4 linked regions of the Drosophila melanogaster genome follow. The protein of the gene in region 3 purifies or fractionates together with the protein of the main gene of each other region. This does not show direct contact. Each region holds a gene or a part of one and is shown on either strand. Other genes may lie near its edges.

Region 1 (5,220 bases), 4.5 Mb from region 3:
GCTCCTCCAAATGCCGGCGCAGATCAGCAATCTTGTTGTATTGGCTCTGACAGATCATGCACTCAATCAGCTTGTAGCCATGCGGTTTGCAGAGATTCAAATCCACAGCCTTGGCCTTCTTGTGCTCGCTAATGTTGGCCGATCGTTTTGAATTCCGGTGAATTTTTAGGTGTGCTTCGAGGGCTTCGCTGCGGCTGAACTTGCGAATGCAAAGGGAGCAGTCATATAATCGAGTTTCTGGCTTATGGACGCGCATTTCATGGCGTTTCAAGAAGTCGAATCGTTTAAAACTCCTAGGGCAGTCGTGACATTTATATACAGACTTTCTTCCTGTTTTCCACTTTTGAATGCGATTATACAGTGGCAAATTATCCAGGGAGCTGCAAGATTAGTTAGTTAAAATAAAGTAGTTGGGAAATTCCAATTGTCACCCACTCTTCGTCTTCAAAGTCCGATGTGGGATCGTCATACGCTGGCTTCTCCACGCTTCTGGGTTCCATTTCCAGCTTCACCGTTTCAATCATGGTCAGTGGGTCCACCGACTTTTTGCTCTCCATGTCCGTTTCGTCCGGTTCCGGTAGTTCGGAACAAGTGATAGTAACATCATTTTCGCCACAGTCCTCATCCTCAGTCTCCAGCTTGACTTCCACATGCTGCTCAGCACACAGCTCCATCGGCGCCTCCTGCAGACAGTCGGTTGACGTTGGAGCAGCACCGTTCTTTAGATGCTTCATTAGAAGTTCGTTGGCGGCCATCGCCTGCTTCACATAGCAATAGGCACCCATTAATTTTTTGGTGCATCCACTGCACAAGCATTGCGGAAATTTCTGACTACCAGTTGCATCCAGCTGAAAGGTAAATGTTTCATTTTAGTTTGCATTTTTCGTAGATTTCGCTTCTTAGAACTTTGTTTACATTGATTTCGGTTAGCTCGCATAAAATCTCCGAAAGCAACTTGTCCGGATACTTTTTCGAGGGCGTGGCCAGCTTCAGAAGGTTGTCGGTGTCCGTGGAGTCGCACGTGCGACAAATCACCGGCAGCTTCATGGCGAACAAATTTGTTTTGGCCAATTGAAAGCTTTTTTAATTTTAAATCAACAATCAGAAAATCAACATTATTGATGGTATGACCTTGATGCGAGAGATGGAAAATACCGTTCGGTCATTAAAAAAATACCACGTTGTTAAAAAATACAGCAATTAATTGGGTGCGTTCAGCAGAGTCCGCTAATTATTTTCAAAGGGAAATATTACACAAATATTTTTAAAATAAACTGAAGAAATTGTTAAATTATGAAAAATATAAATCAATATCCACCAGACAAACAATTAATACAAATATTACAGAACCATTAGAAACTGTGATTAAAAAATCACGACTTAAAATTTACTGCTGACGGTGACCAATTGTTGAATGTGAAATCAATAGTGCACTTTTATTACAATAAATCTACAATAGAGCGACGATAATTTGTTATTTAATCTAAATTGGAGCTTAAATTAGTTTGTGGCGTGTGCACGTTTAGCATACGCGAAATCCGGCAAACCGAAACAGAGCCTCGACCCGATTAGATCCAATCCTCTAGTATTTCTTGATCGTTTTCCGTATGAGGGCAAGGCGCTGTTTGTGCGCCTCCGTGACAGCTGCCCGCTTGTAGGGACGCAGTTCGTCCGTACCGAAGCCGGGTATCCACATGTTGTACTTCCGCTCAAAGTGCAGCTGCACGTCGCGCACCTCGATCTTGTTAGACTTTCGGTGCTTGGCGAAGGCGCTCGTCGACTTGACGGTGTCCTCGACAAAGTCGTCGATGATCTGAAGCAGAAGCTCCTCAACATCCTCGTCCAGCTGCGTGGTGGTATCCACCTCTCGGACGAGCTCTGTGAGACGCGGTTTGGTAAGCATCTGTAATTCGGAAGAGAGTTAAACTAGACCCTGGCGTATTCCGTGTGCACTCCATAAGGCACGCATCTTACGGGAGTGTTCTCGGAACCGGCGGCGGATGATGTGTGATTGGATGACTTGCTACCACCAGATATGGGGCCCGTTCCCGTACCCAAACCGGAAACCGGTCCGCCGTTCTGCGAGGATGAGTTGCTGTTGTTGGTCATCGGACTGTGCTGGGAGGGCGAGGCCATGGGTGGGTCGTGGAGCAGTCCGCTGGCGGACGATGTGGAGTTGTGGTTGTGGTGCAGGTGGTGCTCGGCGACGCCGTTGCTATCGAAAGTGGTAAAGAGATCCGACATTGCTTTTGGGTTTCTTCAGAGTCAAATCAAGTGGGTGGTAGGTCGGTTGGTTGGAAGTGTTTGGGGAAAGTACAGTAAGTTGGGCGGATTTTTGGGGAGTGGGTAAGAGTGCAGAACCAAAGCCAAAAGCGTTAGTGTACTTGTTGTTGTTGCTGCTTATGTTGTGTGTCCTCCTGCTTTCTCAACTGCAGTCGGTGATTGTGTGTGCGTGGGTGTTTGGTTGCAAAGCGAAATGTAAGTAAAAGAATAGAGTGGTCAATTTCACGCGTGCGGTCTTAAGAATCCGTCGCTTTGTGTGTTTACTAAAACTAAAGTGTTACTTAGCAGTTGCTCTTAGCGCATGCAACACTTACAATTATTGCGGTTTTAACACTTTGATCTTAAACTATTACTTTCCTAAATTACTAAACAAAATAAAAATAAGCGGAGCAACTACAGCCAAATCAACAGTATGGCCAGTTGCAGGCGACTCTGAAATGCCCGCTGGTGCTATAAAGCAATTTGGTATATTTACGTTTAATTTCAGTATATTTTAGTTAGACAGCCACACTGGCGTGGAGTTCAAAACAAAACAAAGACGGCGTATTTTGCAAATATCACGTAGATAAGGAATATATTTTACTTTGTAATTGGGAACAATAGCTGCGCAAAAGAAACATGTCAGCGAGCGAAGAAACAATAGCGGACAGTCAGGTCTCCGAGAATGTGGAGGATGTGGAATTCGTAGACATGGCGTTCACAAAGGAGTTGCGTAAAGCCACAAAAGATGTGCATAATCTTACTGATGTTCTAGTGAATGCAAAGATCGCACTTGGTTCGTTAATTACACGATATTATTAGAAGTTATTAGATATTCCTCTTCTTCCATAGCCCTTTCTGATGACGAGGTCTGGTATGATGGACTCCTGGCCTTCTACGAACTGTACAAATTCTTTGAGACCCATCTGCCGGAGCGCCTGCTGCCCAAAGAATTCCACAGAACAGCGGCATTTGAAAGGGATTTTGCCTATTTCTACGGTTCCGATTGGAGGAAGGACTACGAAATTCGCCCGGCGGTCCAGAAATATCTCGAGCATCTGGAAAAGATTGCCGCACAGAACGAACTCTTGCTGTTCGCCTACTCCTATCAGATGTACATGGCTTTGATGTCCGGCGGACAAATGTTGCAGAAGAAGCGTATGATCGCTCGTAAAATGTGGATCTTTTCAAAGAACGATGACGAGGAGCAGCAGAAGCAGGCCGACAAGGAGGCAGAGTTGGCCACCGCCAGAGCTGCCGATGGCTCTGTAGACAAAGACGACTTGGAGGCCAGGCCAATGCCTGCCCAGGTTACCATTTGCCCGCCGGGATGTGAGGCCACATATTTTCCTGAGAAGGTGCGTAGCTTTTTACTTTGTTCCTTATATCTATTGTCTTTATATCCACTTTCAGATCTCTGTCTTAAAGGCCAAACTAAGGCGCGTTTTCAACAATCACTACGGAGCTTTTGACGATGATTTGCGTGCTGCTTTTATTGAGGAAAGTCGCAACGTATTTCGCTTAAATATAGAAGTAGTACGGACCATCAAAGGTGTGAATCGTGCCAATCTTAGGAAGCTGGCCCTCGCACTAATCTTTGTTTCAAGTATTGTAGTGGCCGTGAAATTTGCTCTCAAGTAAGAAAAGTAGGAAATACAAATGTAAGCTCTCTTGAGCAAGTTAGAATTGTGATCACACATTTATTTAGTCGTTTGTTAAATAGTAAATAACCTGAAATTTGTCTGAAGTAAAGTATTTATTGGGAATGTCCGTTGGCAAAATTATCAAGCAGTCCTCGTCTATTTATCCATGGCATGACACGCTCTATATTGGCCCTATAACGTTCGTTGCTAAACATTGCCTCCCTCAGGGATTTGCCATTCTCTTCATTTCCCAAAAAGCTATCAGTGGTAAAGTCATCGGTTGTCTTGTTAAGACACATCGACAAGGTAGTGAGCACAGTTCCAGCAGCTTGAAGAAAAACATGTCAGTCAGAGGAATTTAAAAACCTCAAATCCTTCTGTAAATTACCAAAAATGGGGTGCTGTATCAGAATGGCGTGCAGTTCCTTTAGCGAGGGAATAAATCCGTTGTAGTTCAACAGCTTGGCGTGCTCCTTCATGTTTTGATGATACCATCGGATAAGGTAGTCAAACTGATCGACTTTGATGTCCAGTTGAGTGGAGCTCATTATGAAGTAATACAGATCCTGGGCAGGATTTCCATACTTCGTGACTTGGTGATCCAACAGGAGGGTTTCCTTGACGCGACCATCTGATTCGTATTGGAACATGATGTTATTTATCCAGGCATCACCATGATTGAGCACATTAAACGCTTGTTCATTTATTTTGGCATCTTCAAGTATTCTGTCGACATACGTATCCAAGATCTCTGGCTGCAAAATATGATTTTGTTAAGTTAGTTACAAGGAATAAAGTAAAGTGACTTACCATTTTGTGCAAGTACTCATCCACACCGTCAAACTTGCTCACTTCTTCTATAAAGGATTTCTTAGTGTTAACAAACATACCCTTAAATATAGGTGCCGTTTGCTCTGTAAAAATGCCATTATTGTATTTGGGCGAATAGGGTCCATTTAGTTCCTTGTACTTCAGAGAGGCTGCATGCCACTGGGCCAATTTCTTTAACGTGCACTTGGAATGCTCCAAGTCCATTCCAATCATGCGATCGACCATCTTGAAGCCACTCGGCTGCAGGTTCTCCAAAAGCAGGTACTCCTTGCTGACGTCCTTGCTGAGCCGGAAGGACTTCGGACTAAAAGTGACTGGTAGGCCAACATCCTTATAGAAACGCTCGAAGGCGGGCACATATGTGCTGTAAACCTCTATCTCTTTTGGAAACAGGTTAAAGTCGGAGAAGTTGATTGCGTCATTGTCGCTGTGGACTTTCAGGATGTACGAGAAGGTCTTCACGCTATTGTCTGTAGATGTGAGA
Region 2 (6,218 bases), on a different chromosome or scaffold from region 3:
TCACCTGGAGGCAATTGTGAGCACATCCGCCGACATTTAAATTAGGCACTTGAACCGAATAATTAGTTCTTTCCCCTCCTTTAGATGCGTTCCTTGTCGGCCATGACCAAGGATACGAAGCGATACTGCCGCATCCAGATCGGTTATTTGCTTAAGAAGCTCTGCATTCGTTTTAGCCCCGGGGAGCTGGCCGGCTTCGTTCCCGGCGATGACGATGTAATCCATCGCCGGCTGAAGATGATCCGCAAGCGTACGCGCAGGGATTTGCGCAAGAAACAGAACTTGGAAGCGCAGGAGGATAGCTCCGATGATGAGCTGGTCAGCGGTCTGCAGGAAAAGAGCTACACGTAAGCGTTTTTCATACACAGTAATTACCCAAATAACTAAAAAAAATCCCTTCCACAGCATTGATGATATGCTAGCTGACTCCGATTCGGATCTGCCCGAAGATATGGACGCTAAGGATGAGGCCGGAGCTGCAGCCGCAGCTAGCAAGCGTAGCAAGAATGCTAAGCAACAGAAGAGCACTTACATTCGCGAGGATCCCGATGAGATAGTCGATTTGGCCGATCTCAAGTCCATTGGCAATGTGCTGAGTAAGTTGAAGTCGTTTGAAAATCGCACAAATCATCACTTTTTTTGTTTCTTTGCCTTTGCCCCACTCCAGCCAGTGGCTCCGCTCAAACGGCCACCCCTGCCCAGAGTCAAAAGACGAAAGCTCAGCTGCCGAACGGTGGCTTCAAGACTGCCGACGATGGACGCCTGATCATCAGCGACAAGGCACTTCGTGGCCAGGGCGGTAACGATCAGTCCGATGACGACTCGGATTCCGATGCATCCATGGCGTATGGCACTGTAGCCAAGCAGCCCAAGGTTAAGCGTGGCATGGAAGACGATTCGAGCGACGAAGATAAACTGCAGCAGAAGCTAGTACCCAAGCGTGTACGCAAGGGTGATGATGCGATGAGCATGAAATCGGGCAAAACCACTGCCAGTAGTCGCTACACTGCCGGTGGCAAGGGCATTCATCGACAGCTGACAGCTGGAAACTCGGATGCCATGTCCGTGAAGTCAGGCAAATCCACCAGCCGCCCAGCGGGCAGTGAGTACGGCAGCAAGAAGGCCAAGGGTGATATGAAGAAGAGCGGAAAACTGGATCCATATGCGTATATACCACTCACTAGGAATAACCTGAACAAGAGGTGTGTATCCAAAATGTTTAATATTATTAATATACCCGTCCCTATCTAATACTCCATCTCTTTCGCCCCCAGAAAACGTTCAATGAATTCGCGAAAATTCAAGAGCGTATTGCGAGGAGCTGGCGCTGAAAATGGAGGAGCCGGCGGTGGCCGGGTGTCCAAGAAATACAAATAGGGCAGACGATTCAAGCCAACTGGCTAACAGGCTCGTAAAGCTATAGAGATATAGAGATGTATAATAACACTGGGATAGTGCGGTCTGTTGATAAGGAAGCTAAGACGTTGATGATTATTTCCCCTGTTACTTTGCTTAAATATATAAATATAACTTAATATATATATATGAACATGTGGAGACGTTGTAAATGCCACAGATAAAGAAAAACAGAAACAGAATAGTTATGTATTTTTTTTTTTTTTTGTTTTGATCTGCAAAGACTTTGAATAAAGAATTTTGAAAGCAACATAGTTCGATGCGTGGCAGAAAGAAGAGCAGTAACGTTAGATTAAATCCACACAAGCTTTATGTTCTTTAAAGATATAGTAAATATGACTATTTATTATCGCAAATGCCAGAGTCAAAATACAGATTGGTAGAATATTAGCCAATTAGGTTATTCTACAAAAGAGGAAAGTCTTCGAACGAGATAGTTGCGTCAAGAAGTTGCGTCATCCTGTCCGTGGTCAAACGCCGTTTTGAAAATCCTTTTCAATGTGGGTCTTGTTCCATTCGCCGTGCGGATCCAATCCAGTCATTGTCTCCTCAATGAAGTGCATCTTATTCTCGCTGTCCACCAGGACAACGGAGTGTGTACGGCTGCCATAGGCATGCTCTTCGATATGGACGTTTAGGGAACTCAATCCCTCGCCCCAGTTGGGCGCACGTGTCTTTAGCTCGTCGTCCGGCCAGAATTTGTGCTTGTTGCGGAGCAACTGCATCAGCTGGGCGGACAGAGTCTCCACGCTGGCTTCCCCATGAGCCTTAACGATCGCCTCGAACTCCTGTTTGCCATGACGCACCTTCTCGAACGGAGAGTGCGGCAGACTGTTGCCAAATCCGTAGCACTCGCCGTTCTGGAAATCCTCCAGCGTGGGCGGCACATTGCTCAGCAGCTTCACGCGAGCGGGCTGGGATGCAGATCTGTTGAGAACGAAGGCGTGCAGTAGATGGTATCAATGTTTCGCTAATGGTTCCCTAATGTTATTGCATATTATTCAGAATTTATACGTATAATTCGGAGATAAAGACAGCATAAAGCAATATATGTACATACTAATATGCATATAATTAGAATATATAATAATTCAGGTTAACCTGAATGGGCGCAGACTCACCCAATTTCGATGGACACAAAGTTGAAGGCAGAATACTTGGTGCAATCTTTGAGCAGCCTTTCGTTGTAGTTCAGGATGCTGTGCTCCTCGTCCGCCCGGGTAACATAGTCCGCCACAATCATGCCGCGCCCTAGTAAGAAATGTTCGTTATTCGATTGCCCCCTACTCGGATTCGTATTCGGGTTCTGAATTGGATTCGGATTCGGATGACGGTAGCTGTTGGAGGTGGTGGTCTTGGGGCAAAGGTTAATGCCGGTGCTGTTGCTGTTGTGATTATGCGGTTGCAAAATGTTTTTGTGCGCTTCAAACAGAAAACAGAAACGAAGAAAGTTTGTTTTTGCTTTGCTTTTTCTTTGGTCGCGGTTGTGAAAGTTTTAGTTCGGGCCAAGTGTTAGGTGTATGGATGAGTGTGTGTGCGTGTGTGTGCGCGTCAATTTGGATTAGTAAGTAGCTCAAATGGGTTTACCAACTGCATCGCGTGGCTTGGGCTCGCCGGTCAGATTGAGCAGGGCGCCCACCTTAAAGAAGCCAGCGGAGTGGCCGATCGCCAGCCAGGTGCCGCCCTCGCGTCCCGGCTCCAGATCGATCCCTGAAATGGGGGAATACATAAATATTTACTCAAGTTGATCCCGCACTCATGGGTAAGATGGCTTGAAATCCAATTAGGTTGCTGGGAAACAGATCTTGTGAGAGGTGTTCATTCTAACAAACTGCTATCAAATCATCTTAGTGACTAAACTATAGGTAACATCTTGATGAATACAAGCTCTCAAGGATTATACTCCATCTAAGCATAGGCATTCAAGGGCATAAGCCCCACCACTTACCTCCGTAAACATGATCGGCATTCGCCCACTTGGCTGCCGATAGGGTGGCGCGGGCAAAGAACTCGTCCCGATTGGAGGCCAGGATGAGCTTGTAGCCACCCGGTTGCGGATTCGAGTCCGCACAAAAGAATATCACGCACATCGTCGGAATCCTATACTTATTTGGCTATTGTTGCGATTTGTAGTGCCTTGAGGTTGTGGGACAACTGCGAATGGGATCCGGAAAAGTGGGCTTTAATCTCGGTGGGGCGTCGGTATCAAAATGGCAGGTTGTTCGGCTCAGTCTTCTCTTTGTTACTTTGTGGCAGTGGAACTATAGCGCCGGTTTTATCACCAAATAGCCGTACGTACGTACAGCTGATATACAGTCTTATCCGTTGTTTGCGAGACCAGCTAATCTAAGTGGTAAATGTAAATGGTTTGGATTGGTGGGTGTTCTCTGTGAGCCGTGCCTCTATGTGATATATACATATCTACGGGGCAAAAAGCATTCCCGTTAACGCAAACAAAGCAGTATTTTCTGAAATTTCAATGACCGGGTTGCCTTGTTTTGATTTCTCTTTTAATTTTGTTTTTGTTTTGTTTTGGCGTTGCCAGCTGACAGGAGAATCGATAAGAAAATCGTTAACACTCTGCTGCCCTGTGCAATATTCTTTTAGCTATTTTATTAATTGCTAATTATTTATTTGTGCAGTCTATGACTTATCTTAATTTGTACTTTTAAATTTGAAGATTTTAGTTCCTCATCGTGCGCTGAAACAATGATTGACCAATATGATTGTGTAATTTATTTCCAAAGCCATATATAACGTATATATAAACATATTAGTTTTTTTTGTCGCCTGTGCCGATCCAGATAACAAACTACTATTTTGAAATTGGCGTAACAGGTAGGTAGGCATTATCGCCAGTTGCCCATCTCTATTGTATGACCGTGGGCCCGGCAATCGATTGGCTTACAACTTATCGATGTTTGAAAACTAACCAAAAACCCTGTAACATAGGCTTGTAATTAAAACTAGAAAATACCATTACATAGCTATGCACTGCAATGCATAAATTAACTAACAGACCTATACAGGCCCTTAAATTGGTAAGAAAACTGATCGCTAAAATTAAAGCGAAAGAGTGGATTTTTTAGGACAAAAATACCGGTCGGTCGAGAACATTTGGGGGGAAAATCATGTCGCCATCTGGTAACACTGGCATTCAGCAGAGCAGTGAAAACGACGTTAATATTTCTGATCAATTAAACAATTGGAAAATCCGGCCGCAGATCGCGATCTAAACGTATCGCCCTCGCCACGCCCACTGCCGCCCACGCCCCCTGGCGCGGGGTCACATCGATAGAGAGCTTTGCGTGTGTGTGTGTGTGCGTGCGTGTATGTGTCGGTCGAGAGGAGAGGTGGAAGACGAAGAAGAATAAAAAAAACAGGCAGCGAAAAGCGATAAGAAACGGAACACAACACACTGGAAAAAAATTGCGATAAGAAACGGGGCGGAGCGGAGCGGAAATTGCCAAGACTCTGGGATGGATTAGCGGCACAGCCGGACTCTGAGGTTAGCCAACAGTGGGATTAGGACCAGGAACAGCCATGTCCTCCGCCGTTAACATCCAGATCGTCTCTATGCCGAATCTGGCCAAGATCGAGAGCTTCCTGAAGGATGTCAGCTACCGGGAGACGATCGAGTACAGTGCCAACTTCAACACGCGCCTGTGCAGCGAACGGCGCCACCGGCTGCCCTTCCTCGATCCGCAGACAGGCGTCGCCCAGAACCACTCGCAGCTCTTCCTGGACAAGCGACAGCGGATGCCCGGCTTCCGGCAGGGCCAGATCTACACGTATCCGGCGGCCCGCTGGCGGAAGAGCCGTCGTCAGTACTTGAGCAAGATGTACAGGTGAGGAATCGTAACCAATCGGTGCGGGATTTGAGTGACTGGCACATGCACAAGGAAAAGTTAGGTATAACTCTGGCGAAGCAAATTAGAGCTTGGAAATCTAGGAGTCTGTTACCTATGGTAATCTTATTTAAAACGAGTTAGGTTAGAAGAATATCATCTGTGTATATGCCATTCAATCTCATCAAATCCTACATTTTTCGTTGGGTGAGCTCCATATTTATCCCTGCTAATAACGAACTTTCCACTTATACAGCCGCTTTCCCGAGCGTCCCTTCCAGGCGCTACGCAAGGAGCACGAAGCTCTGGTGGCCAGCGGCGTCAATCTGGGACTGAGCAGCCTGACCAGCGGTGTGGGCTCCATGCCCGGCAGCAATAGCCTGGCCAGCAGCTCCTCCCTAACGCTCAATATGCTTACGGGCGGCGGAGCCGCGCCGGCCGTACTTGGTTCCCTGCACAGTGACACTGCCCACGATTTTAATGGAGCCTTCAGCCTGGAGGAGTCCAGCTCGCTGGGTGCCGCCGGCGGTGATACATCCGACAGCAAGGACAGTCAACAGCAACAACATCAGCAGCACCAGCACCAGCAGCAGGCCGTCAAAGAGGAGCTTTTGCCCAAGGAGTGGTTCTACGATGACATGGATATGAACGATGTGGACTCGCTGGAGGAGCCCAAATCGCCGGCGGATGATGAGTACGATTATGATCCGCGCTATGGTAACAAAAAAAGGCGCAAGCGGCGACCAGGCAAGCGAGGTGGAGATTCCGGCGGCGGTGGTGGTGGAGGAGGCGCCGGCGGTGGCGGCAATTCCGGCGGTAGCTCCAGCTCGCGGAGACGCAGTGCAGCGGCCAGGTCGCGTATCACAACGACGGATGCGGCGCTGGACGCATCGCTGGAGGCCATTGAATCTGGCGAGAGTGTGCCAGGCAGCAATGGAGGACCAATCTCCAGCG
Region 3 (5,477 bases):
AGCACGGGATGGAGACGCCTGGCAACGTAACAGCTGACCTTTCAAAAGTCTTCGCTCCCAAAAGCCCATTCCACTCACCAAGTTTCCCCATCAGGTCCTCCAGTACATAATCCACAGCCATGTTTGATTTTTTATTGATAATCAAAAATAAATGAAAGTAACTGTTTGCTATTGCTTCTTAACAAATCGTCATCTTCTGCAGAAGTGGAGCATGTATGAATGGCACACCAGTGCAGCACTGCTGATAGTTACGGGTCGCGAAGATGCAAAACGAATCCGGGATAAACAACGTGCTCGAGTGAAACAAAATCGCAAACGGAGCGCTCGATCAGCTATCAACTCTTCCGACCGCCGGCAGCATTTGAACTGGCAAAAACTAACTGCGAACTGTGTCGCTCAGCGAGAAAACTGAGTGGTAAATGGCGATAAGGTCGCTCCAAGCTCGCGAGCGAAGAGAGCTTGTGGAGGTCTCCAAAGTTGGGAACTAAAGAGCAAACTCTGCTCGAGGGTAAGAGCTTCAAAAACTGTAATCACCATTATAATCCTTGATGTATGAAAATAAATGATGCCTCTTGGCAAGGATCCCTTAGATTAGAATACGATCAGAAAACTCATACCTTAGCAAGCTTTGATTTGCCTAACACTCAGTGACAAACAAAACATAAGTCACAAAAACACATACAAAAAATACATAAAATTCATTTAAAGTTAATTTTAAAATTATGTGTGAGCCAAACTTATCAGATCCGTCGACATTCCTGTACTTGGATATGCTGGCGGATATTTTAATGCAGGACAGCCTTGAAATGGAATCAGATTTCAATACCAAGTTAAAATTTCTTAAGGAACAGGAACAAATTTGCCTAGACAATGCCAAAAATGTGAGACTCAATGGCCATAGGCAAACAGGATATAAATTTTTCATACTCCAACAGGCACTTCCCATCGATGATACCCTGAGATCAGTAAAGTGCACCATGCTTAGGGTAGAAATGGAGCTGCATGAAAACGAGATTAACCTTATACAGGCGGAGAAAGCAGTTACGAAATTGGAGCAGAGCTATCCGAGTCCTGAGAGTCTGGCAGGCCAAGTGTTTCCTTTGGCAAGTACCACATATCAGGATTTGCTGAGTATGCTGATGTCTTCGAAAAAAACAGTCGATCATTGCAATCAGATCAAAGAGGAGGTCGCGACGTATAATGAGCAGATATCCGCAAAAGTACCTTCCGTAAATTTGGTATGAAATGATGACTAAAAGTTGTATTTAGAGTTTCTAAAGTGAGTGTATCAACAGGTAACCAAGCTTATCGATTACCACAATAATACACTGGAGTCTATGGAAAAAAATATCGAAAAATTGAAGAGCCAGGTCACACAAGTTCAAAAGGAGTTCGAGCAGCTTTATAACGAACATGCACGCCAATTCAACGCACCGTTCCCATGCAAAAAGGTCAAGGAGTTAAAACCAAAAGACACATGTGGAGTACGACTACGCATGTAATCTGATAACACAATATATCCAACGAATATTATAAATGCTTACAATGCTGCAAGTTCAACTTTTCGCTTAAGATTAGGTTTGGTGATCTGGGCTTAAATTTTAGTTGTTGGCATCACGGAAAAACAACACATCGTCGGCTATGATACTGGTGCTAGTCTTCTGGTTGCCCTGCTGGTCGGTGATCTCTCCATAGGTGATCTTTCCCTGCACCATGGTTCGCTGTCCCTTCTTCAAGTATTCCAGCACGGTGTCACGCAGATTGGGCTTGAACACCACTACACGATGCCAGTCGGTGCGTTGGGCCCAGTCGCCGTTCTCATATCTGTGGGGAAATATTTAAGACTTCATGAATGCTTTTTAAATGAAATGGTAGCTATTTTCTTTATGAAATCCGGCATTTCATGGATCCTAAGAAGAAATTGATCACTGAAGTTAATTGAACAAGGAAATGTACACTATTGCCGTTATCATTAGGTAATTACATACAGCAAATGTTCTAATAACTCATTACATAAATCTGAATTAGCAGCTCAACGTGATATTTTCTTGGAGGTTAAGGCTAAGAACTAACTTAATTGTCAACATTTATGTAGCTTTTTTATTTCCCTCCTCTGAGATGTGATTTCAAGTTCAGTTGCAGACGCATGCTGGGCGGCAAAACGCACACAAATGCACTTACTTGTAGTTGGTGTGTGTAGCAACCGAAAAGGTGACCACCGGATGCTCCTGGGATCCACGCAGCTGCGGATCGGCGCCAACTCGTCCCAAAATGGTCACCGTGTTGACAGCTGTGGTTATTTATTCAAAATTAATTCAATTTCATAACTAAACCTAAGAAATACTCACTTTTTTCAACTTTGGCGGGAGCCGCTGCCGTTGTTGTTGTTGCCCCGCGTGCCGGCAAATTTCGCAGGCCGGTCAACAGAGGATTCAGCTAAAAAAAATAACATGTTTGTTCATTGTATTTTGCAATTTACCGGCTTTTTAATAATATTACTTACCATGCGCCTTGTGTGTTGCATCTTGATTGTATTAATAAAATATCGATGTATCGATGATATTTACGATATGTAAACTTTTATCGCGATAGTTTTTAATACGAAATATCGCATATCAACATTATTTCTTATTTTATATATTGACTTGAAATGCTACTCGCAAGTATATAAAAAAAATGTTTTTTTATTATTATTTATTAATTTTGGTGTATAAATCCGCTTTTGGAGATTGAATTCGCCACACGGAGTGAATTCGCCGCATATTGTCCCTTGCGGAATACAAAAGAAACTATCTAGTTCAATCATAGGCCAAAAGAGGACGTTAGCGGTCAGCTGTGTATAGTTCAAAATAACAGCCAAAGGTGGCGATGATACTACATTGTATAGTTGCTTATTTCAACCAAAAGGTGGACGCACACTAAGCACAACTGATAGTAGGCAATTTCCATTAGTTCACCATCTCAATAAGCAAATGCTGAGGGCGCCACTGTGACCTCTTTGATTAAATACTTAATAAATTAAGTACTTATTTCATTTAAAATAAGCTAAGGGTTAAGAAAAAGAAGAAATATCAATGATTTCATATCAATGTAAGTTGAATAAGCTGGACATGTAGTGTTTTCGGTACAATTATAATGTTTAGAAAAATAAACTTTATTTAAATTTGTATGCACGCAAATTGTTTACATTTTTCATAATATAAGAAATTTTACTTTAGTTCCCCAACCCCTTAATTTGTTTTTTATTCAAGAATATACTATCAAAAAAATAGTATACAGTGTGCATCTAAACATTCACTCAATAACGCAAATATAATGCACAAAGATTTCAACTTTACAACCTCGAACAGGATGCAAGAAAGACAGCTTAAGCTCGCTCCAACCACGAGTAGTCATCATCTTGGCTTTTTTGAAAATTAGTTACCGGCTGGCGGCTTTGTTTGAGCTGCAGTTGCTGAGGAAGAAGAGCGAGCGGACAAGTGTCCGTTAGTCGGGTGCTAATAAAAACCTGGACACCCGAGAGGCGTCCCCGAAACGGAGCGGAAGAACAGAATCACCATTTTTATATTCGCATTGCTCTCGAGCCGATGCTGCTGCAATTGCTGCAGCATCAACAGCAACGACAACATCACAAGCAGCAGCAGCAGCAGCAGCAGCAGCAGCAATTGCAGCAAGAGCTCTCTGCAACTCTCGAGTTTGCATTCAAATTCAGCTCAGGCGATGAGGATGACGACACACAGTCCGCGTCGATGTAGCTGCCCCAAGAAAATCATATTGCCGTCCAGAGTCTCTTAACTGCCCTCCATCTGCGTCACTCGAGCAATTCTGCGGAGCTGATATAATGCTGCGCAGATATCGCGGTGGATTCCCACTTATTAATCATATCGCGATATGTTACTGCAGAATTTACTGTATTCTAGGAAATTTTGAAATGGGCGTGTTACATATTATTTCAATCGGATCGAAGTTAAATTTTTGAAAATTGGGCCGTTATTGCTATAAGATTTCTGTTTTCGAATATTTATTCCGTGAATCAAATGTTTGTATCTTTTTATACATTCCCAAAAATATTTTAGTTTTTCCCCCAATGCCTATATATTTATATTCAGTTGCTACCTCAAAAATAAATAGATTTTAAAGTGTTTGCATAGAAAACATTGGGTTATTTTAAAAAAACCACCTAAGCCTATATCAGAGTTAACTCATTTCAATGGCGCGCTTTTTGAAAACCCAGATTTCCTTCATGATTGTTCCCCAAAAAACATTTGCCCAACAAGATCCAACCCCATACTTTTGTATTCTAGCCCTCCGTCCGTATCTATATCTGCAGTCGTAGCCAAACCGAACACGGAGCATTGTGCCCGTCGTTGAATCCAGTGCGCGTGTTGCTGCGACTCTATATAAATATACATTCGTACATATATGTATGTATGTACGGGGCGCACTCATATAGGAGGTTTGTGTTGTTGCTGCCCGGCCTGGCACTGTATCTGTATCTATACACGAGCATGTGCGCTCGTATCTGTATCTGGTGTTTGGGGCTCCGGCTCTGAACGCTCCGCACCGCGATACCAACAAAAACGAACGACGGAACGTACCAGGCAAACGAACCAGCGAACCAACGAACGAACGAGCGAACGTCCCAAATGTCGCTGCTTTTTCTATATTTTCAGATTGTATAGTAGCACGGCTATAGAGGTTGGCGGGTTGGAGGTACTGAAGTGGTTGCTGCTGCTGCTGCTGTTGTTGCTATTGCTGATGATGTTGCTGTTGCTGTTGCCGTTGGCGTTGGCCTGGCTGACTGGGCTTGTCGAGGACGTTCGCTAGATGGCTGACTGGGTTGGCCTGGCCGGCTCTTTGGCTCTGCCGTGCTGTGTGCGTTTGCGTGCCAAAAAGCGAGCGATGGCAAAATTCATATGTGCGCCTTATAGTTAAACTATAAACGGCAGCAGCATTCCGGCAACTTGCAATGCTGCCGCGGTCACTGGCAATAGCACTGTTTGCTGTTCAGTGCGAGACTGCGCAAAAGGAGTCGAGCCCCGTGGCCAAAGGATTAAAGTCATCTAGAAGACTAAAAAATTTTGAGTCAAGGGGATCGCAGTGATGCGTGTAGTAAAGTCTTTGCCTAATCATATATCATATATTATCTATTACCTGTTTTTAAATATATAAGTTGCAATATTGTTAAGCAAATACTACACCAAATACCTAATAGCCTTAAAACCTTTACTCATAACATGATTTCTAGACATTATAAAGATTACACTGGTACAACTGTAATCGCTTTAAAGAAGCAGTTCGAAACCCTCAGCATTTAACCCCCAGAACTCGGAACCATCCAATTCCAGCAAGTTGGGCAATTTTAACCCCACGAACAGCACCAATCGAGTCACCGCCTCGAACTGCATCGCGAGCTGACTGCGCACAAAATTTAACCAGAAAATTTAACAGAGCAGCAGAAACTGAGACCCCAAAAC
Region 4 (6,670 bases), on a different chromosome or scaffold from region 3:
GAGGTGGGTCGTCCGGCATTCCACCGCCGCAATTGGATAATGCACCTGATCGCCGCTTCCACTCCACTGCACTCCACTCCACGAAATTTACTGTTTGGCCAGCTCCTCCGAGGTGGCTTCGTGAGTGGCTCCGCGTACATAATGTGCATGTGCAGTCGGCGAGATCACGGTTTCACATCTCATTTCGCCCTGCCACAAATTCGGACTTAATGACTGCGTGCCCGATATACTTTTCCTCCGAGCTTCGCTCCTTCTTTCTCGGCTGAACTTTGCTCTGCTCCCCTGGCAACAGAAGATAGGAGCCCGAATCCATTTGAGTCACTTAGAAAGCTAATGGCATAATTCAATTGGGGCGGACAAACATTCAAAGCTCGGGTTGGGCAATCCGCCGAGTGATTCAATTTTCCACAGCCGCTAATCCTTGTCCCGCTTACTGGCGGATCTAATTGTGTAACCTGAAAACAAAGCAGGAATAAATGAAATGAATGTCTCTTGAGGATTGCGACGCTTACTTTCAGCTTTTCAGCGTGGTTAATAGAACAAGGAATTCAAATGATGGAGATTCATACAGAACACCACGTTGATACTAAAGATTTATTCCTGGTGCTCAAGACTTATCTAAGTCAGCGCCTTTTTAACCCAACTTTCACACTTTAACCAACTTTGTTGATTTCTATGGCCTACTAACACATGTAACTTATAAAAAGGTCTGCTGGTCTAAACGGTGGCAATGGTTGTATTTTATGTTAATTGATTAAACTTTTTTTGCAAAGTCCATATTTTTGGATAGTTTGACACAAAACAATATTGACGAATAAGAATTTTCAGTATGTTTCATTACCTTATTGCTATATTCATGAGTTTGAGTAATGAACTAAAGTTTGCAAAAAGTATTTCGATGCCTTAACAATATCATATAATCGATTTTCTTGCCATCCAAAATTTTTCCTTATTTTCATCTCTATTACTATATTTTTATGGCTTCGCATATGAAAAGTCGTTGACTTTTGTTATTATTATAATTGTTTCATGAAGTACTTATAAAAATCTAACAAATAATTGACTAATTAGTTAACTATCAATATTTAATTTTAAAAAACATCAGAATGGGTAACTTCTATAGCTCTGAAGTTAGTGAAACATAATAGTGTTCCTGATTTGAAGTTGTGAAGCACCTGTCCTTAAATTAATTTTCTGATTTGTTTCGATTTTTTTAATTATAATCGTTGTAAAACTAACTATACTATTTAGATAAAGGTTATTAAAGCGGGACACAAGTAAGAAGTTTGCTTGTTATAAGTTCATTGGCAAGCCAAAATAGTTTGTTTATAGTGAACCTTTAATTTTAAAGAGTGCTTTAATTGTCCTAAGTTCCTCTATCGTGTTATATATAAAAGGGAATTTGTAAATTAGAAATCTTTAAGCATGCGAAGTGGCCTGCTGTTGATTTTCCGTTTGTTTAATCGTTTACAAAAATTTTACCCTCAAATGTTCGAAAGCTACAGCCATAGAAAAAATAAAAATCTGCTATTTTCAGTTTGTTTTGATTATGGCGAGCAAGGACCCACACTCACGCCCTTACATATATGGGTAGATTTTTATGTAGAATATGTAAATCGGGCGGACAGCCTCTTTCACATGGCAACCCCCGAACGTTCGATAAGTACGTAGATACATACATACATAGGTGGGTCGCTTAATCCCCGAGAGAAGAAAGAACCCGGAGCACGTACCACTGGCGATTTGGGCGTCCAATGCCGGGGTTTTCCCAGTAGCAGCCCGGGCTCAGAGATCCAGCAACCCTCGGGGCACGGGTGCGTCGCCAACCCCGGCCATTCGCATGCGATTCCACCCCTATGTATTCGTATTCGTATCCGTATCGCACTCGCATCTCGCGAGCATCCGCATCTGGCAGTGTGGCTGTGTATCCGCATCTGTGTGTCTGTACGCGAGCTGCGCTGCCTGCCGCAGCCTCTGGGTTTTCGGTTTTCGGGCTCGGCCCATTGTCTAGTAGTCCGCTGGCGGGGCGTGGCTTCCGAAATATAAATGGCTGTGCTCTCTTTGGGCGGCGGGCTCTCTTCGGAAGCCGCTCTTCGATGCCCGAAAGCCAGAAAACCTGCTTGCCCGGCGTATCTGTGTGCGCCTCACACCCATACAGACGCGCGGCGCACGGGCATAGGCTTTGGGCACTTTTCCTATGTATTTCGCAGCTGTATGGGAGAAAAAACGGCAGCAGCCGCGGCAGCAGCAGCATCTGCAGCAGCAGCAGCAGCAGCCGCCGCCGCAGCAGCAGCGGCAACATCGCACATCCCCCGAAGGTTTTTGCGTCCAACCAGAAAATCCAACTTCAGTCGAGAACTACGTCTGGTGGCTGCGCAAAGGCGGAATTTCGATTGCGGGTCCTCGCTTAATTAACCAAACCAAACCAAACCGAACCGTACCGAACCAAAACCGTACCGAAACCGCTCCGTTCCGTTCCGAACCGATCCGCACCTAGCCGAACCGAAACGATCGTGGATCCGAACTGCAAATTAGTTCAAATACAATTAAATCACGTCTATTGTCCTTCAATCGGGGAGAGTGCAGTGTATATAGCGGCGGATACGGAACTCTAGCTCCAGCACCCACAGTTGCCTTAACCAGTGCCAAAAATCGATTTTCAATAAATACTTATTTAGTGATCGTACCTGTTTTGCATTGGCCCTGGCCCAAGTGTTCAAAAGAAAACCTATGCTCTCCAACTAGTTGATATCGCCGTCTAATTTGGATCAACATGCACATTCTACACCGCACCAACGACCATCAGTTCGAGGATCAGAAGTTCATGATGGTAAGCTGCGCGCCTTTTGCAGGATACTTCGATCGGAGGAGGGTCGGGTCTATCTATCCAAATTGTCTGTCAGCCGAAATCTGCCCAGGCTAATCCCCGCCCGAGCATCGGCGCAGCTTTAGCTACTCAAAATACTCAAAGATATTGAACCATCGAGTGCCCATGGGCGGACGAGCTTGATTGACACTGAAATTTCTTTGGGCATTTTGGGGCACGCAAGCCTTAAAACCATTGGCCAATTACGACCATTGGCCAGCGATCCGGACCGAGAGATCTGCGCCCGTGATTCACATTCACACACAAGCTGATTACCATTCCGGGCCATTCTAGCAGCAAAATCAATGAGCAATTTACAGTAATGGGTTCTCCTGCGACTCCGTGTGGCACACTCTGCTCTGGGAATAATAAGTACATAAACTTCAACCTGATTGTGCCCACTCCAAGAGTCCGGGGATCACTCAAGTGCCCAAGAGGGTGTGGGGCCCCGAAAGCAGACTGCGATCACAGGCGCATGCAATTCTCTTGTAATTAGAGGTCTTAAACCTTGAAAATGCATCTTCAAATTTAAATTGACTTTTTAAAGTAGGCAGTCTTAAACCTCAAGGAGTCTATTTAAAAATTTTATTAAAGTCAGGATCTAAAACCTGAATACAAACGGTGTTTGTTTATGGTAATCAGACATTCAAGAAGTCAGTTTGCTTTTTTTGTTATCCTAGTCGAGATGCATTGGACACAAATGGACCAAATCGAAATCAAATGTGCATATTCGTATTCAGATTAGGTAATGTTCGATCAGTATCAAAGTATTAATTTTAGTTTCCCAGTATCCTTATAGGTTTTCTTGGGCTGAAAACTCTTTACTAAATGCAATTCTCTATTCAAATATTATAGGGCGACAAGACTAAAGAATATAAAATCTTATTGAAAAAGCCAATGGGTCTGTTAACTTATTTTATTTACTTGTAATTGAGAAACATACCCTTAAAGGATGCAATGTTAGTTGCACTCATTTTTAATTTTATTCTGTTTTTTGAACGGGCAATTTGGAATCATTTATTTTTTAAGACGGCAAAAGTAGCCGTCGGAAAGACGAACCTTAAAACTGTAGCTAGCATATGTATATGTATGTGTATGAAGTCCACTGTTTTTAGAGTAATGATTCTTGAAATCTTTTTAATCTTCTTTTAAATTTCATATACAAATTTATCGTACAATATTTACAGTCTTTGATCGTTTATAATATCTATAACTGTAAATGTAAATCCAAGAGAGAAAGCCATGTTATGCTTTCTATGTTATTTCGATTAAAGTCTCTATAAGATTTGTACTCTTAGTATTAGTATTTGTATCATCAGACATAAGCCTCAAATTAAGCGGTTTGGCTGTTTCAAATATGTGCGTTATGGGAGGGAAACCGTATCTGAAAGTAAAAAAGGTCCTACATTTAATGCACTCACGATTTCGAGGCAGAGAGCAAAAAGTGACGGCGGTGGGAGTGATCAGACGTCAGTGGTCAAAATTCAAATGCGAATATGGAGGAATTCTTGAAATGCGTGGGTACACGCTCCCCCATTTAATTAGCGAAATTATATGGTGTTCTTGCTTCCAAGAACTTTTTCGATGCCCGATAAAAAAATAGGGCAATTTGCGGGGCAAGGGCCAAAGATCAAAACAAAAACACAGCGAAGAGGTAGACCAAAAGTCATCGCCCACAAAAATCCGAGTCCCGCCAGCAAAGTGGGCATGTCGAGTGTGTTGGCATTAGCTTTGGTTTTGGTTTGGTTTGGTTTGGCTGGTCCTGGTACTGGTCCTGGACCTGTCCCTGGCACTCCGAAGACTCCCAAATCAGGTAAGATCCCACTGGGACACTCGCGTGATGCGTTGCCAAAATAATTTATGAGATTGAAGCGCAACGCATCGTCAATTTGCGTGCGATCGCCAACTAAAAAAAGAATGCCATACAGACTGGCAGAAAAGTTCCCATAGCCCAGCTCCCAAATATCAAAAAGTATTCAGCATTGGGCTTATTTATTAGCCAAACTCCGTTTCATCCAAGAGGTTCGGGCTCAAAGCCTGATTGATGGCTTCCCTTATGATTTATTGAATAATTTCTTTATAATTTAGAATAATTGTTCCAATTTACAATGTGCACTTTGTAGGATTGCGAGGCATGTTGGTATGGTAATTGTGCGCAGGGCTAGGGATTGCATAAAGAAATGAATAAGCGCCATTAAACTTTCCCCCACTTCCAGATGCAGGAATACTATAGTCTTGATTAAAAGTAAATTATATAAATGGAACTAGAGGAAACTCGCAATAAGATGAATGAAACAATTTCGATAGGATCAGAGTGTAAGACCGATCCGTGTTCATATTTGCATATTCGCATATCATATTTATTATTTCGCCAGTGCGGGCGAGATAATTCCGAGTCCTTTGCATCCGCTGGAAGGCATTTCCGCTTCCACAGACATGCAGATACATCCTCGGAGGAAACTGGAATTGCATATGCACGCATCAAAATTGATTTCATTTGCGGAGAGGAAATTAAAAAGTCCAAACAAAACCAAATTGATTGGCAAGATAAATGTAAATGTTCATAACGTGGCCAAGATCCTCAGCACAATCCAGAATCAAGTGTCGGAACCTCGACGATGTGGACGGCGTGTGTTAGGCTCGTGGCAAACCAAAACCAAAACCAAAGCCGTGCAAAGCACCACATCCACATCCTCGTCCGATGCCAAAAGCCAAGGCAAGAGCGAAATCATCGGTTGGCCGACATGCGTTGGCCTTGCCTCCTCGGAGGCAGAATGTGGAGGATGGGGAGGCCAGACCTGCAGTTGGCTCACGAGGCTGCTGCATCGAAAGCCGGCCCTTTGGACGCAGATTGCAAACGGACGAGCCGAGCTTAGCTCAGTCGAGTTCGGAAGAAGCTACACAGGGAGAATCATTGGGTTGTGAGGAGCTCAAAAGGAGATCACAATGCCAGTGCATGTGGAGTTCTTGTAATCATAGTTTCCAATATTTCTTGTTTATCTTATAATAGTATAATATAGTATTAAAAAGCAATACATATATGTAAGTTTATCGCATGGTCATATTTCAATTTGCAGAACGAAGTAACCTTAGTCCTATGTATAATTAGTAGTGAATACTATATACGGAGATTCATGTAACATATCGTATAATTTGCATACTATACAGCAGCCCATAAACAAAGTGGTTCTCTTACAACACTCTCGACCTTTTCTCGCAGTGCACATGCATGGTCGCCAAGTGGGCACTTTCGGCTCGTCGTTCTTCTATTCGTCATCTGCACGCTAGAAGATGGGACGCAGCTTTTCGATTTTGGCCGAGCAGGCTCCGCAAATACCCAGCAGGTTTAATACATTTATGAATGGGTTTTACTACTTCATTAAGGGCTCCTCCGCTCTTCCGCGCATTTGAGGGCCAAGGAGCTGGAGCTGGAGCTCGAGCCGAAGGAAGAGACTGAGGATCCAGCCGAGCTCCAGCTCTGCGGATTGGAGCGCGTGCGCAGCCAGGAGGAGGAGGAGGACGAGCAGGGCAGGAGTACCTGCAAGAATCGTAATAAGCAGAAATCGATTATCGTCCGCTGAACATTTCCATTGTTGTTATGAATATTATATGCAGCGTTTGGAGCGAAGCTTCCTCTTAAATTCGTTTAATTTATAGCTCTTCCGACAGTTCCAACTTGCAGTTCCAATAAATGACAGCACCGGACGTCGAACGAGTGTGTAATCTAATTGGAAACGAGCGCGGCTTAGGGACCCACTGTACTGCCGGTTCGCGGATGGCCAGTGCAGACCATATGTAAATTCG

What was found.
Region 1: the proteins of mtSSB (region 3) and Ho purify together in Drosophila melanogaster (affinity purification with mass spectrometry, with the first as the bait; one large-scale study listed by BioGRID). This does not show direct contact.
Region 2: the proteins of mtSSB (region 3) and Tango2 purify together in Drosophila melanogaster (affinity purification with mass spectrometry, with the first as the bait; one large-scale study listed by BioGRID). This does not show direct contact.
Region 4: the proteins of mtSSB (region 3) and TfAP-2 purify together in Drosophila melanogaster (affinity purification with mass spectrometry, with the first as the bait; one large-scale study listed by BioGRID). This does not show direct contact.

Annotation. Positions count from the first base shown.
Region 1 is NT_033777.3:11,676,970-11,682,189, forward strand, and holds Ho (heme oxygenase), read left to right. Parts: upstream 1-2,773; 5' UTR 2,774-2,901; coding exon 2,902-3,058; intron 3,059-3,114; coding exon 3,115-3,620; intron 3,621-3,675; coding exon 3,676-3,903; 3' UTR 3,904-4,007; downstream 4,008-5,220. Other genes in the region: CG18476 (uncharacterized protein), read right to left, coding at 1-380, 436-848, 916-1,047; Taf12 (TBP-associated factor 12), read right to left, coding at 1,583-1,903, 1,975-2,244; CG6830 (uncharacterized protein), read right to left, coding at 4,019-4,233, 4,294-4,660, 4,716-5,206.
Region 2 is NC_004354.4:13,614,722-13,620,939, reverse strand, and holds Tango2 (transport and golgi organization 2), read right to left. Parts: upstream 3,952-6,218; 5' UTR 3,507-3,951; coding exon 3,365-3,506; intron 3,127-3,364; coding exon 3,004-3,126; intron 2,839-3,003; coding exon 2,538-2,838; intron 2,344-2,537; coding exon 1,887-2,343; 3' UTR 1,733-1,886; downstream 1-1,732. Other genes in the region: CG2691 (uncharacterized protein), read left to right, coding at 1-16, 85-347, 406-596, 668-1,202, 1,275-1,377; tth (toothrin), read left to right, coding at 4,960-5,264, 5,521-6,218. UniProt on the Drosophila melanogaster protein: May play a role in Golgi organization.
Region 3 is NT_033777.3:16,202,713-16,208,189, forward strand, and holds mtSSB (mitochondrial single stranded DNA-binding protein), read right to left. Parts: upstream 2,539-5,477; 5' UTR 2,525-2,538; coding exon 2,504-2,524; intron 2,437-2,503; coding exon 2,349-2,436; intron 2,291-2,348; coding exon 2,182-2,290; exon of another isoform or gene 2,032-2,181; intron 1,977-2,031; exon of another isoform or gene 1,825-1,976; coding exon 1,602-1,824; 3' UTR 1,503-1,601; downstream 1-1,502. Other genes in the region: CG6126 (uncharacterized protein), read right to left, coding at 79-121; CG31287 (uncharacterized protein), read left to right, coding at 723-881, 936-1,238, 1,296-1,502. UniProt on the Drosophila melanogaster protein: Binds preferentially and cooperatively to pyrimidine rich single-stranded DNA (ss-DNA).
Region 4 is NT_037436.4:21,596,509-21,603,178, forward strand, and holds the start of TfAP-2 (transcription factor AP-2), read left to right. Parts: upstream 1-2,347; 5' UTR 2,348-2,773; coding exon 2,774-2,830; intron 2,831-6,670.